Linked DNA regions of Nothobranchius furzeri. The protein of the gene in region 1 binds, or shares a complex with, the protein of each later gene. Links are inferred from orthologs where the notes say so. Each region holds a gene or a part of one and is shown in the gene's direction. Other genes may lie near its edges.

Region 1 (6,966 bases):
CTTCTAGAGACCCACGATGCGGAAGTAGACTTAGGCTCCCTATAGCGCCTTCTTGGGGTCTCTGGATCTGTTTTTTTAAGATGGCGACCTCACGTTTCCTGTTTATGAATGGGTTTCTGTAGCTGACAAACGGAGCTAAAACATGCAGTTTTACGAGTATTATTCTCATGTCATGTTGTGTTCTCGTATATTTATATTTTAGAGACTTTCTTGTCCGTGAAAAGTTCATCAACTCTGCATCAGCCGAGGTATTCCTTAAAATTGAAGCAGGTAAGCGGTAGTTTAACGCCATTGGTTAGTTCTGGTCGGCCCTATGTTTGCTATTGCGTGGAGCTCTGTGGGGCAGGGGCCGTGCTTAGCAAAAAAAATAAATAAAAGAAGAAGTTTTGCTTACATTATATCACACGTAACGTGAAAAGCAACACTATTTACCCCTCTACACTCAGTACATGATAAAACAATCACTTGTACGGGTTTCTGAATAATCATACATCATTTCTGAAAGGGGAAACCTCCGGAAAGCTACTTTATAGTGTCTTGCACCTGCAACCTTCCGATTACAGGAAAATGGGCCGCAGTATCCGCGTTTTGACCACAGGATGTCATTCTTTCTTCATTCTTACATAGTGGACATGTAAGTAAAGGCGATTAGTTGACTGACTTAAAGTTTTTCTTAGATTTAATAAACTTCTAGTTGAAACTTCATCCTGGCGTGAGTCTTTTTCACCAAGTCTCTCCACACAGTTCACACTAACCGATAAACGTGCCTGAACACTTGTTCTACCTCACAGGACTCTGCTGACCCTCCTATCTCCAGCTTTGGTGACTCTCCTATCTCCAGCTTTGGTGACTCTCCTATCTCCAGCTTTGGTTATTAGATACGTTTTTCTTCCTTTGGGTGCTGCTTCCCCTCCATATTCATTCTGTTTCGCTGCCTGTTTGCAGTTTTCTGGTTTCTTTTTTCCACTCGCCTCCACTGTGAGTCCGCTGTGTTAACTTGTAACCGGACCTGTTAACAGGACCCAACCGGTCCAAGCTGCAAGACATGCTGGCTAACCTGAGAGATGTAGAGGACTTGTCTCACATGCAGCCTCCGTCCGCCCCGCAGTCCCGGCCCAATGTGGCTCGCTTCAACGAACACGAGGGGAACCGGACGGAAGAAGGTACCTTTATTTTTTTTTAATTAACCGTTAATAAAAAAACACTATTTTTTTAGCTGTTTTGACTTTTTAAATTCTATTTTCTCTAGTTGAGGCGCTTACTTTCCCCCCCACCTCAGGAAAGTCGTTCATTATCGGGACGGATGAGGCGATGGAGAGCGTTCTGGGCCTGGGAGATCTGGCAGGACTTACAGTGGCCAACGAAGCTGAGAGCCTCGCTTACGATGTGAGTGGGGAGAATGTTTTCAGCTTCATCACCATAGTTGGCGTTAATCTTGTTCGAGCATGTAAATACGTCAAAATGTCCGACTCACACCACTGTAAAACATTCCATCCTCAGATCGGCAACAACAAGGACGCCATGAGGAAGACGTGGAACCCCAAGTTCACCCTGAGGAGTCATTTCGACGGGATCCGCGCTCTTACCTTCCACCCCGTGGAGCCCGTCCTCATCACAGCCTCAGAGGACCACACGCTCAAAATGTGGAACCTTCAGAAGACCACTCCCGCTAAAAAGTAAGACCATCTCCTCTCTGGATGGAGTTTAGAAAGAGCAACATTTTACACACCAGGGTTGTTTTAAAGGGACTTAAAGTGTTTGTTGAACTTGTTCTCTGCAGGAGTACGTCTTTAGATGTGGAACCCATCTACACGTTCAGAGCTCACAGGTAAAGCTCACCTTTAGTTTTTACTTGATTTGATGGATGGTATGTTTGGTGTAAATGTTCTGTTGTTGCAGGGGAGCTGTACTGAGTGTTGTTATGAGCAGCACAGGGGAGCAGTGTTTCAGTGGAGGGGTAGACGGCACCATCCAGTGTTGGAACACTCCCAACCCCAACATCGATCCTTACGACTCCTACGGTAAACTTCCTGTTTGCGTTTCTATAGTTAGTCCAACTTTTTAAGTCAAGGGCCACATTTTTCACATTGAAGGTGGAATAGGAGTTTTTTTTTGTGCCGTTCACTCACGTTACTTTTTGAATATACACGATACTTGTTCCTGAAGGTTCAGTATTACACTTTCGACCCACTGTTGGCCCCTTTTCTGCCATGATTCTTCACGTAACGCACCAACGTAGCCATTTAACTAGTTAGCATGCTAGCTAATGTAGTGTGGCATTTTTATGGAGAAGAAGGAGGTGCTTTCAGCTTTCTTGGTTTGTTGGCTTCAAAATCCCAGCAGCTCGGTAGCACCAGCAATCTGGGAAAACCTCACAAAAGGGTCAGGGCTTAGGGGCAGCGGTAGCTCGGGAGGGAGAGCGGATTAGTGATCGGATGTTCGCAAGCTCGATCCCATCTCTGCTAGAGAATTCTGCTGTTGTGTCCTTGGGCAAGACACTCAACCCTCGACCAGCTCAGTGGCCTAGTGGGGGAGTGTCTGCCCCGGGACTGGGAGATCGGAGGTCAAATTCCAGTCAGGTCATACCAAAGACTTTATAAGAATGGGACCCAATGCCTCCCTTCTTGACACTCAGCAGGGGTTGGATTGGGGGGGTTGAACCCTGTGTGTGTGTGTGTGTGTGTGTGTGTGTGTGTGTGTGTGTGTGTGTGTGTGTGTGTGTGTGTGTGTGTGTGTGTGTGTGTGTGTGTGTGTGTGTGTGTTGTGTGTGTGACAACTATGGGATCTTAATCATTATCCCACCTTGTCTACTCTGATACAATGTAGTGTAAAGCACTTTGGAGTCCTCTGACTCAGAGGGGCGCTTATACAAGTGCGAGTCATTTATCATGGCTGCTTGATGGGTGGAGCAAGAAGCAGTCATTTAGAACAGGACGTTCACAATGATCGGGTGAGGTTTTTTGTGCTTGTCTCACATGGTTGCCGTTAGGGCTGGGAGATACGGCCTAACATCAGTATCACCATGTATGGAGGATTTCACCTCAACAACGATAAATGGACGGTAACTACATATATGCGCAGAAACAAAAGTTGCCCACTAGATGGGGCTGTTACATGTGTTATGTTGAGACGTGGAAAAAACAAAAATGTCAGAAATTATAACGATAAATCTGATTTATTGCCCAGCCCTAGTATTTCAAGCATTATGGTAAAAATTGCTCCTGAAAAACATCACTTCCTATTGGACAACAAAAATGTGATTTTCTTTTATTCTTCAAACTTGCAACCATTATTTAATGGTCTTGTTTTAATTTGTGCTTCCCAAAATATGCATGTTAGTAAAAATCTGACCATAAAGATGTTAGAAAGTCTGGATCTACAACAACAGCATGTTGGATAGGAAAAGTCATCATTCTAGAAATGTTAAACCACTCTGAGGACCACGATCAACCCCCGAACTGCTGTTTGGACACGCCTGGTTTAAGCTGATATATTCTGTGTTCCGTGCAACAGACCCGGCGGTGCTGCGTGGCGAGCTGAGTGGACACACCGACTCGGTTTGGGGTTTGGTGTACAGCAGCACACACCAACGCCTCCTCTCCTGCTCCGCAGACGGCACCGTGAGGCTCTGGGACGCCAACACCACCTCTCCGGCCCTTGCATTATTCAATGAAAACAAAAGTACAGAATTTATTTATTTGTGGATTTTAATTTCACCTCTCTTTTGGGGGAGGGGTTTAAAAGCAGGAATAAAACCGTTGTTTCTGTTCCAGAGCTGGGAACCCCCTCCTCTGTAGACCTGGTGTGTAGCGAACCGGCTCACCTGGTCACGTCCTTCACTAATGGGCAGATCGGCCTCTTTAACATGGAGACCCGGCAGCTGGTCCTCAGTCTGGAGTCCGGTTTGGAGCCGGGTACGTTTTTCAAGCCTCGTGTTGGGTTCTGGTGTTGTTTGTAGCAGGTCATCAGGTTTTTCTAGCTCCTGCTCCACATCAGAGGTTCTTTGTCTCCGTCATCAACCCAAAATAACCAATCACCGTTGTTGAAAAGTGAAACCAAAACATCCTGTTTTATGTTGTTTTTGGAACCAGTGTGTGTGCATTCAGGCTCCTGGCCCACCCGCACTCAATCATCGCTGATTAATGGGCTCGACACGCGGGAGGCGACCCGCGGCCAGCGGCGAAGCCGTCGACGCGTTCTGTTCCATGGCGAAATCAAAACTTCCGTTGTTTTGATTGGCTGTGTCGGGTTGGAGGGAATTAAGGTTATTTAAGCGGTTCAGAGTTAATAAAGCGGTAGATATGATGTTTCACAAGGTGCTGCTAGAGTTATGTGAAATCTTACTTCTGATTTTTCTATAAAACACCCCCCCAGAATGGTTTCATCCCATATTACAAACCAGAGAAGGAATCGAAGAGTACCGTCATTTAATGAGGGACCCACGCCGCAGCCTTTTTCTGAATATCTCTATATTCTTTGGTAGAAATGTTGTAGCCTACAGTTCTGGGAAACCCGTCACAGCAAGTATCAACGTCTCCTCCATGTTTGCTCGGAGATGCACGGAGCATCCTGTCCGCTCATTGGTCAGTGAATGAAACCTCCGTTGATTGGTCCTCGTCCGAGCGACAGCGATGAAAAGTTGAAAATGTTTCAACTTTCTGGGATCGCGTCGCTGGGTCGCCTGTGCACGACACGCGCACGAGCGCAAAAATTCACACGCACGTTTTTCGTATTTCGCTTGGTAGGAGAGAGACCCGTTTAGATGATTAAACGATCACCATGGTTACCACTCTCTCCAATGCAATATGCCATTGTTTAGTTTTCCTTTGATTCTTTCAAAATAATTGAAGTTACCAAATACTTTTTACTCCACTAAATTATTTATGTACGACCGAACACATACCCTGCGTAGGTTTGCATGAAATCTAACGTGGAAAATGAAAGCAAACATGTCAGTTATTTTTTTAAAACCAAATCAGCTGAGAGTCAGAAAACAGGAGCGATGCTTCTGGTCTTTACGTCCCCTGACAGCTCATGTGGGATTGTGACGAACAAACACCTTTTGGAGCGGCTCGTGAAGACTTCATGTTGTATAAAAAGCGAGTTAGGTTCAAGCTAAAGGGCGCAGAGATGCCCCCCCCCCCCACACACACACACTTTGTCCCACCATCACGTAGTCTTTGTGAAAACACGTGATGGCGTTACAGACTCACCACTTATAAACGACCAAAGCCTCCCTGGTGCTGCCTCAGCTCTGCAGCAAAGTAACGCCGAGTTTCTTGAAGAGGCCGGAGTTGCGGGAAAGTTTTGCTAATCCTTCCTCGAGTGTCGGCTGGTTAGGATCAACGACCACCAGCTTCCTGTCGTCCAACCCAGGATGGAATTGTGTAAGGTGCTGTCGCGAGTCGGTGGTGTTGCTGTGGTATTTGATTTTAGTTTTACACACTTTACTTTAATCCTCCTGATGAGTACATCTCACGCTCAGTGGCTAAAGCTAATAAGAAGCTTCCATGTTAGCGGTTTTGTTTTTTCCGCTGGTCCGTCCCTCTAAAGCAGGGGTGTCAAATACGCGGCCCGAGGGCCGAATCCGGCCCGCAAGCGGGTTAAATCCGGCCCGCGAGATGGTTGTGTAAACTTTGTTTTCATACTTTACAATGTAGAGTGAAAATAAACGTATCTTTGTGAGCAAGTTTCCTCTGTAATGAGTATAAATAAAACAAAGCTGCGCTCAAGGCTCACACAAGAACTTGAATCACATCCTGAAGTTGGCCGCCACTCAGGATGTGACTTCTGATGTTGATGTGCTGGTGAAAGCTAAAAGATGTTAAGTAAAATGAGTCAAATATACTTTAAGTGCTGCATGAAACTGATCTAGCCATGTGATCTGTAAGCTCTTTGAATCACTAAGGAATGTTTTTATTTATTTATTGTTTTTTTTATTTTTTTTCAAATTTTCAAGTACACTTCAGGTGTTGTACTTTTACTACACTGTCCTCAGGCTCCAGCCTTGTTTTATATTGATTGTATTAAAACAAAGAAAACAATCTGAAGTTTTTTTTTTTTATTTACCGGTCCGGCCCACTTGGGACCAGATTTCCCTCGATGTGGCCCCTGAGCTAAAATGAGTTTGACACCCCTGCTCTAAAGTGTCTGGGCGGCGTGAGTAACTTATGTTCCTATCGCGCTTCACGGCAGTTTTTTGGCGTTTATTTATAATTGATTATGAACGTTTATGAATCTATAATTGATCATAGATTAAGTGGTGAATCTGCTCACCTCTAGTGCATGGATATTAGCTTCTTATCACCGTAGGACCCATAACTGGTATTTGTGAATTTCTCTGTTTTGTTTTCAAACCAGGAACCCCTTGTCACATCAACAAAGTCCTCAGTCACCCCACTCTTCCAATCACCATCACAGCCCAGGAGGACAGGCACATCAAGTTCTTTGACAACAACAGCGGGAAGCTGGTTCACTCCATGGTGGCCCACCTGGACGCGGTCACCAGCTTGGCTGTGGATCCCAACGGGCTCTATCTCATGTCTGGAAGTGAGTATATGTCAAATTAATGTTGTCGTTATTAGAAGATAACAGATGACCGAACTGGGTCTGGCGGTTGACTTCTCACATCCCGTCCTCCTGTGAACAGGTCATGACTGCTCCATCCGCCTGTGGAACCTGGAGAGTAAAACCTGCATCCAGGAGTTCACGGCCCACAGGAAGAAGTTCGAGGAGTCGATCCACGATGTGGCGTTCCATCCGTCTAAATGCTACATTGCCAGCGCCGGGGCAGATGCTCTCGCCAAGGTGTTTGTATGACGTGGAGCTCCCGTGTGTTCCCCTCCTCCTCCCCACCATCACAGCTTCGCTCTCTGACTCAGTCTTTCAGGATCAGGGACCAGTAGAGACTCAGCGGGGGGGTGGGGGCGCTACCAGGCAGGGGTCCGGTCCCATCTCACTCAGCCC
Region 2 (6,966 bases), on another chromosome or scaffold:
GTTGCTCTATGTTCTATATATCACCTTCAAAATGCTGCAGGTGTATTTGCAGCATGTAGATAAGAATTTAATAAAGGAGAGACTGCATCCTGAAGTAGGAGATCATTTAGTTGCTTTCTTGTATTTGTTTATTTTTATTTATTAATTTATTTATTTTTAGGAATTTTATACTAAAGTAATGAAATAGTTTCAGGTTTATATTGCTCATCCTACATTAGGGGTGTAACGGTACACTAAACTTGTAATCGGTTCAGTGGTTTGAAGAGCTCGGTTCGATGAATTTTCGGTATATTATTATTAGATTATTTATTTAATATCTGAAGGGGCTCCTAGTGAGCAGAACCAGGTGTCATCACAGGCTGCTAATCTAGCATGATGTATTTAATTATTTCACAGGTTATTAGCACCACAGACATATATACGTAGATGCCCTGTGGTCTGGCGCTGTCTTTTGGAGATGCCGTAATGGCCGACTGCCATTTTAGATAGATTAGCCCCCAGTGCATTCATTTCAACTGAGCAAGGTGCTCACCCAACTAAAAAACATGTTTTATCAAGCATTTTCACAAAATCAAACACAAGGTACGGCATCATAATTAAAATATAATTAAATAAAAAAAAAGATTAAATATAAAATCTTATCTGGTAGACTAGAAAAGTCACTAGTAATCCCACATGATCTGTTTTCAATAGTACGCTGCTTGTTAGGCTGCACAGAAACAGGCATAGTTGCTCACTCTACACTGACTTTGGAGAGTGAGGAGACCCATCTAACATGGTGGCGACACTGGTACACTCTCCAGCACCCAATGGGGCGTCTACGTATTTATGTCTATGATTTGCACAGCTCATTCTCATACAGACGAGTGTTGTGTTAGACATGTTTTTATTTCTTAAAAACTCGCCTCACACCTCCCAGAGTTTCTTCTTTAAAACTCGTATTAAATAACGAGCGTCCTCTGCGCCAGATTTTTCATTGTAAGATGAAATCTGTACATTAGTTGTCACAGCGGAAAAGTTCAGCAGACATGTTTGTTTACATGTTTGCCTCTGCGTGTCTGCACACTGTGAGAGAAGGGAGGGAGAGGCGACACAACGCTCCGTTCAGAGTCTCTACACAGACTCCACAGTAGCAGCGACAGTCAACTGGTCTGATCCGCTCTGAAAGACATTGATAAGAATTTGCAGATCACATTTTAAAAACGGAGACCGGGCACGTGCAGCCACCATGCGTCACTCAATACAGGGTCCGTGCGGAAACTCGCCTAGGAACTTTTATCTGCTGCACTTAAATCATGCAAATGTGTGAAAAATTCATTATTTAACATAAAAAATAAACCGAAACGCTACGCAAGAGGACCGAACTGAACTGCCCGAACCGAAGCGGTTCGAATAACCCCCATGAACCGTTACACCCCTACCCTACATGCATGTTTGACCTCGTTTACAGGCGGAGAGGGAGAACCCTGGTCTCACACAGGACATCATAATGAAGATCTTGGAGAAAAAGAACGTTCAGATCAACTTCACTGAATCTCTGCTGCGCATGGCGGCGGATGATGTTGAAGGTAAGTTAAGGAAACGATGTTTTGGGTTTTCTCGCCCTAATTTCATGTTTGTTTTTTTGAGCGTGTTGATAAATGTATCTGTGGGAATGTTCTCCTGCAGAGTTCATGATCGACAGGCCTGAGCAGGAGTTCCAGGACGTAAATGAGAAGGCCAGAGCACTGAAACACATCCTTAGCAAAATCCCAGATGAGATCAATGACAGAGTACGCTTTCTACAAACTATCAAGTGAGTGTCTGCAACTTAACACACGGGTTTTTAAACCATCTAGAGCAGGGGTGTCAAACTCATTTTAGCTCAGGGGCCACATTGAGGGAAATCTAGTCCCAAGTGGGCCGGACCGGTAAATTAAAAAATACTTCAGATTGTTTTCTTTGTTTTAATACAGTCAATATAAAACAAGGCTGGAGCCTGAGGACAGTGTAGTACAAGTACAACACCTGAAGTGTACTTGAAAATTTGAAAAAAATTTAAAAATCAACAAATAAAAACATTCCTTAGTGATCCAAAGAGCTTACAGATCACATGGCAAGATCAGTTTCATGCAGCACTTAAAGTATATTTGACTCATTTTACTTTACATCTTTTAGCTTTCACCAGCACATCAATATCAGAAGTCACATCCCGAGTGGCAGCCAACTTCAGGATGTGACTCAAGTTCTTGTGTGGGCCTTGAGCACAGCTTTGTTTTATTTATACTCATTACAGAGAAAACTTGCTCACAAAGATAAGTTTATTTTAACTCTACATTGTAAAGTATGAAAATAAAGTTTACACATCCGGCCCGCGGGCCGCATATTTGACACCCCTGATCTAGAGCAAGAGTATTCAATGCCGGGCATAGAGGCTCCATAGGTGCTTCGTCCACTAAATCAAGTATGTTTGAGCAGAGAAACCACAAAAACATGCTGGATACCGGCCTTCCAGGCCCAGAATTGAATACCCTGATCTAGAGACAAGTTACCTTAAATATCTTGTGGATCAGAGAAATCAGTTCTGAGGTTCTTCCCAAGTCGATATCAGAACACTTTTAATGATTGTTATGTAAACATAGAGCCTCGTGTTTCATTCTGAGTAGTTGGTTTGAAGTTCTGTTTCTTATCCAAGTTGCATTCTGTTCACAGAGACATAGCAAGCGCCATAAAAGACCTCCTGGACTCGGTCAATGCTGCCATTAAGAGACACCAGTACCAGACTCGCAGAGTGAGTAGTGGAGCATGTCTGTTAATGTTTAAAATCTTATCTTTGCTTCTGCTAATCATTCCTTACTTTTAATGCTCATAAAGCCCCTGGAGCACCAGAAAAAGGAGTTTGTGAAGTACTCGAAAAGCTTCAGTGACACCCTCAAAACATACTTCAAAGACGGAAAGTAAGTGTGACCCCTGATGGTATGGAAGAGAACAGGAGAAGATTTGTGTTTATTGTGTAAAACACACATTACCTGGCTTTAGACCCTCGAGTCAGTCCAGTTTATGCTGCTAAGTTGAGCTTTCTTGTTCAGAAAAGGAAATCTAGTGAATTAGCTAATTAATGTCTGATGACTGATTTTATTTTTAGTGAACTTTTAGTGAACTTCCCCCAAAACACACACCAGAGCAAAAAATAAAAAGAATTGCATCAGCACAGCTAAAGTTATTCAAAAACACAACTGCCTGCACAGAAAAATGCACGAGGGACCTCTAAGGGTCAAATTTACAGTCAGGTCCATAAAAATTGGGACATCAACACAGTGCTAACTTTTTTTGGCTCTATACACCACCACAATGGATATCAAATGAATCGTCAAGATGTGATTTAACTGCAGACTGTCAGCTTTTATTTGAGGGTATTTACATCCAAATCAGGTGAACGGTGTAGGGATTACAACATTTTGCATATGTGCCTCCTACTTGTTCAGGGACCAAAAGTAATGGGACAATTGGCTTCTCAGCTGTTCCATGGCCAGGTGTGTGTTATTCCCTCATTCTCCCAATTACAATGAGCAGATAAAAGGTCCAGAGTTCATTTCAAGTGTGCTATTTGCATTTGGAATCTGTTGCTGTCAACTGTCAAGATGAGATCCAAAGAGCTGTCACTATCAGAGAAGCAAGCCATCATTAGGCTGAAAAAACAAAAGAAACCTATCAGAGAGATAGCAAAAACATTAGGCGTGGTCAAAACAACAGTTTGGAACATTCTCAAAAAGAAGGAACGCACCGGTGAGCTCAGCAACACCAAAAGACCCGGAAGACCAGGGAAAACAACTGTGGTGGATGACCAAAGAATCCTTTCCCTGGTGAAGAAAACACCCTTCACAACAGTTGGCCAGATCACGAACACTCTCCAGGAGGTAGGTGTATCTGTGTCAAAGTCAACAATCAAGAGAAGACTCCACCAGTGTGAGGGTTCACCACAAGATCTAAACCATTGGTGAGCCCCAAAAACAGGAAGGCCAGATTAGAGTTTGCCAAACAACATGTAATAAAGCCTTCACAGTTCTGGAACAACATCCTATGGACAGATGAGACCAAGATCCACTTGTACCAGAGTGATGGGAAGAGAAGAGTATGGAGACAGAAAGGAACTGCTCATGATCCTAAGCATACCACCTCATCAGTGAAGCATGGTGCTGGAAGTGTCATGGCGTGGGTATGTACTGTATGGCTGCCAGTGGAACTGGTTCTCTTGTATTTATTGATGATGTGACTGCTGACAAAAGCAGCACGATGAATTCTGAAGTGTTTCGGGCAATATTATCTGCTCATGTTCAGCCAAATGCCTCAGAACTCATTGGATGGCGCTTCACAGTGCAGATGGACAATGACCCAAAGCATACTGCAAAATCAACCAAAGAGTTTTTGAAGGGAAAGAAGTGGACTGTTTTGCAATGGCCGAGTCAGTCACCGGACCTGAATCCGATTGGGCATTCATTGCACTTGCTGAAGACAAAACTGAAGGGAAAAGGCCCCAGGAACAAGCAGGAACTGAAGACTGTTGCAGTAGAGGCCTGGCAGAGCATCACCAGGGATGAAACCCAACGTCTGGTGATGTCTATGTCTTCCAGACTTCAGGCTGTAACCAGTGTTGGGCAAGTTACTTCAAAACGGTAATGCATTATTTACTACTTGTTACCCTCATTTTAAAGTAATTCATTACATTACAGTATTACTGATTTGAAAATGTAAGGCATTACACTACTTTTGCATTACTTTAAGCTACTTTCAGCAAAACAACTTCAGTATGAATCTGGTAATCTGACGCTCAGTGAGCTCATGACATATATGTGGAAAGTGATGTGGTGTCTGAGCTAGGATTGCTGTTAAAAACAGTCAGATATAATAACAGTGCTTTAAAATGATTGTTTATTAATTAAAAGCAACAACAATCTGTACTCTCAGCATGCTGCCATCTTATAGTAACTGAGCAGGGAGTGAGGTTCAAAATTCAATTCAATTCAAAAATACTTTATTAATCCCAGAGGGAAATTGATTGCTGTAGTAGCTCAGGATAATAATAATAATCAAGTCGTCAAAGAGTTATTGTATATTACAATGGCTGTTGGCAGGAAGGATCTCCAGTAGCGGTCAGTGTTGCATAGGGATGGGTACCTTTGACATTTGAATCGATCCGGTACTAATTACCGGTACCTAGGAATCGATACCGGTACTTAACGGTACCAATTTTCGATACTTTTGAGTGTTTATTATTTTAATTCTCTTTTATAATTAAATATATATTTTTCTCAATATATAACAATATTTGATAAATATCACGATAACATACAACTGTTTGTATTTTAACATTGTCCTTGTAGTTTTATAAGCCCATAATTAAACTGAAGCAAACATCTTTACTGTGAACTAAATTTACTGTGTATCTTCATTCCTTTTGCCATCTTTTTTCATTTGATTTTTGCTACTGGGAAGTTAGAATTTCCGAGGAGAAAGCGAACGCACCATTAGCTGATAACAATGGTGGCAATGGAAGCTAACATATCAAGCTAACGATATCTTAAACAGTTTATTTAGCTGCTGGAGCAGATTAAAACGATGATGCCTCACACTTAGATCGTCACTGGTTTCGTCTTCACCCGTCACATTTAGTAAAGTGAAGCCAAACTTTAGAGCGCGTTCATGTTGTTCTAGTCGGAAATTCGGAGTTCCGAGGAGAAAGCGAACGCACCATTAGCGAAACGGAAGCTAATATATCAAGCTAATTATATTTACCTACCGGAGCAGATTAAGATGAGGATGTCTCATTTAGATAGTTGTCGCTGGTTTCATCATCCAGTTACCCATCACATTTAGTGAAGTGGACCCAAGCTTTAGCCTGCGTTCTCTCTACCATGCTGCTCTGTTTACAACTGGTTCACAGCAAGCGACGACAAAACGCTCCTGCGCATGCGCAGCTGTCTTGGCAAGTTCTCGTTAGGATGGACGGGTACCGAAATGAGGCACCGTTTGAAATGACGTGAATCGGTGCTCGGTCGGTACTATGGAATTCGGTCGGTACCTTAAAAAGTACCGAATTCGGTACCCATCCCTAGTGTTGCAGCGAAACTGAAGAAGCCTCTGACTGAAGACACTCTTCCGTTGTCGGACAGTCTTGTGAAGAGAATGCTCAGGGTTGTCCATCATTTTCTTGATTCTCTGGAGAATCCTTCTTTGCATGATCTCCTCCAGTGGTTCCACAGTCGTCCCCAGAACAGAACCAGCCTTCTTTATTAGGCTGTTGAGCCTTTTCAGGTCCCTGCTGAAATGGGGTGATGACAGGTGATGGGGGCTCCAAGCCTATATTTGACTTGGTCCCCAAATGCCTTGATAGGGCCCTGGATGTGGGACTGACTTCTATCACATGAATAAATATTAAATGCTTATATATTATTGCTTGTCACTAGTAAAACTGTGTATTGGGTATAAATCTACCTAATTTTTTTCTTTTTTTTTTCTTGATTTTATTTGAATAATTTTCTGCCCTTTCTCTCTCTAACCTTCCTGCATGCTGCATGTTTTCTCCGTCTTCCAGAAAATCTGTTTCCTAGATTTCCTACTTTCTAGCTAATCAGCCAAAGGGATCTACCAAACGCAAAAATAAATAAATAAATAAACAAATAAACGCTTAATATGCGCTGCGCTCCAGCAGCAATGAGTTGAAATCACCGGGGCACAGATTATGAACTCAGCTGAAAAGTACATGAAGTACGAGAGAGTATGGGCTTATATAAACGATCACAAACAAATTTGTTTTGGTGGAGTGATTTTGTGAATATAACAGCGGCCGCGTGCAGCACACTGCTGGAGTATTTGAGCCATTACCGCTGCGTCCTCTCTGCTCATAGAATGCCCACAAAGCTGAGTCCATAAATGACGTCATATATGACGTGGATACTGGATCTTTTTTCAGGCTTCCCGCTATTTGAA

The links. Proteins that work in one complex are often made in the same cells at the same time.
Region 2: striatin (region 1) and programmed cell death protein 10-B share a complex: the UniProt entries of both Homo sapiens proteins name them as parts of the core of STRIPAK complex. The link is inferred for Nothobranchius furzeri from reciprocal best matches to the Homo sapiens genes STRN and PDCD10.

The regions. Positions count from the first base shown.
Region 1 is NC_091752.1:1,674,172-1,681,137, reverse strand, and holds part of striatin, read left to right. Parts: intron 1-1,019; coding exon 1,020-1,163; intron 1,164-1,249; coding exon 1,250-1,386; intron 1,387-1,500; coding exon 1,501-1,676; intron 1,677-1,780; coding exon 1,781-1,828; intron 1,829-1,899; coding exon 1,900-2,021; intron 2,022-3,513; coding exon 3,514-3,681; intron 3,682-3,773; coding exon 3,774-3,914; intron 3,915-6,360; coding exon 6,361-6,549; intron 6,550-6,649; coding exon 6,650-6,819; 3' UTR 6,820-6,966. UniProt on the Homo sapiens protein: Calmodulin-binding scaffolding protein which is the center of the striatin-interacting phosphatase and kinase (STRIPAK) complexes.
Region 2 is NC_091758.1:24,818,931-24,825,896, reverse strand, and holds part of programmed cell death protein 10-B, read left to right. Parts: intron 1-1,450; coding exon 1,451-1,568; intron 1,569-1,668; coding exon 1,669-1,795; intron 1,796-2,691; coding exon 2,692-2,770; intron 2,771-2,853; coding exon 2,854-2,936; intron 2,937-6,966. UniProt on the Homo sapiens protein: Promotes cell proliferation. Modulates apoptotic pathways. Increases mitogen-activated protein kinase activity and STK26 activity. Important for cell migration, and for normal structure and assembly of the Golgi complex.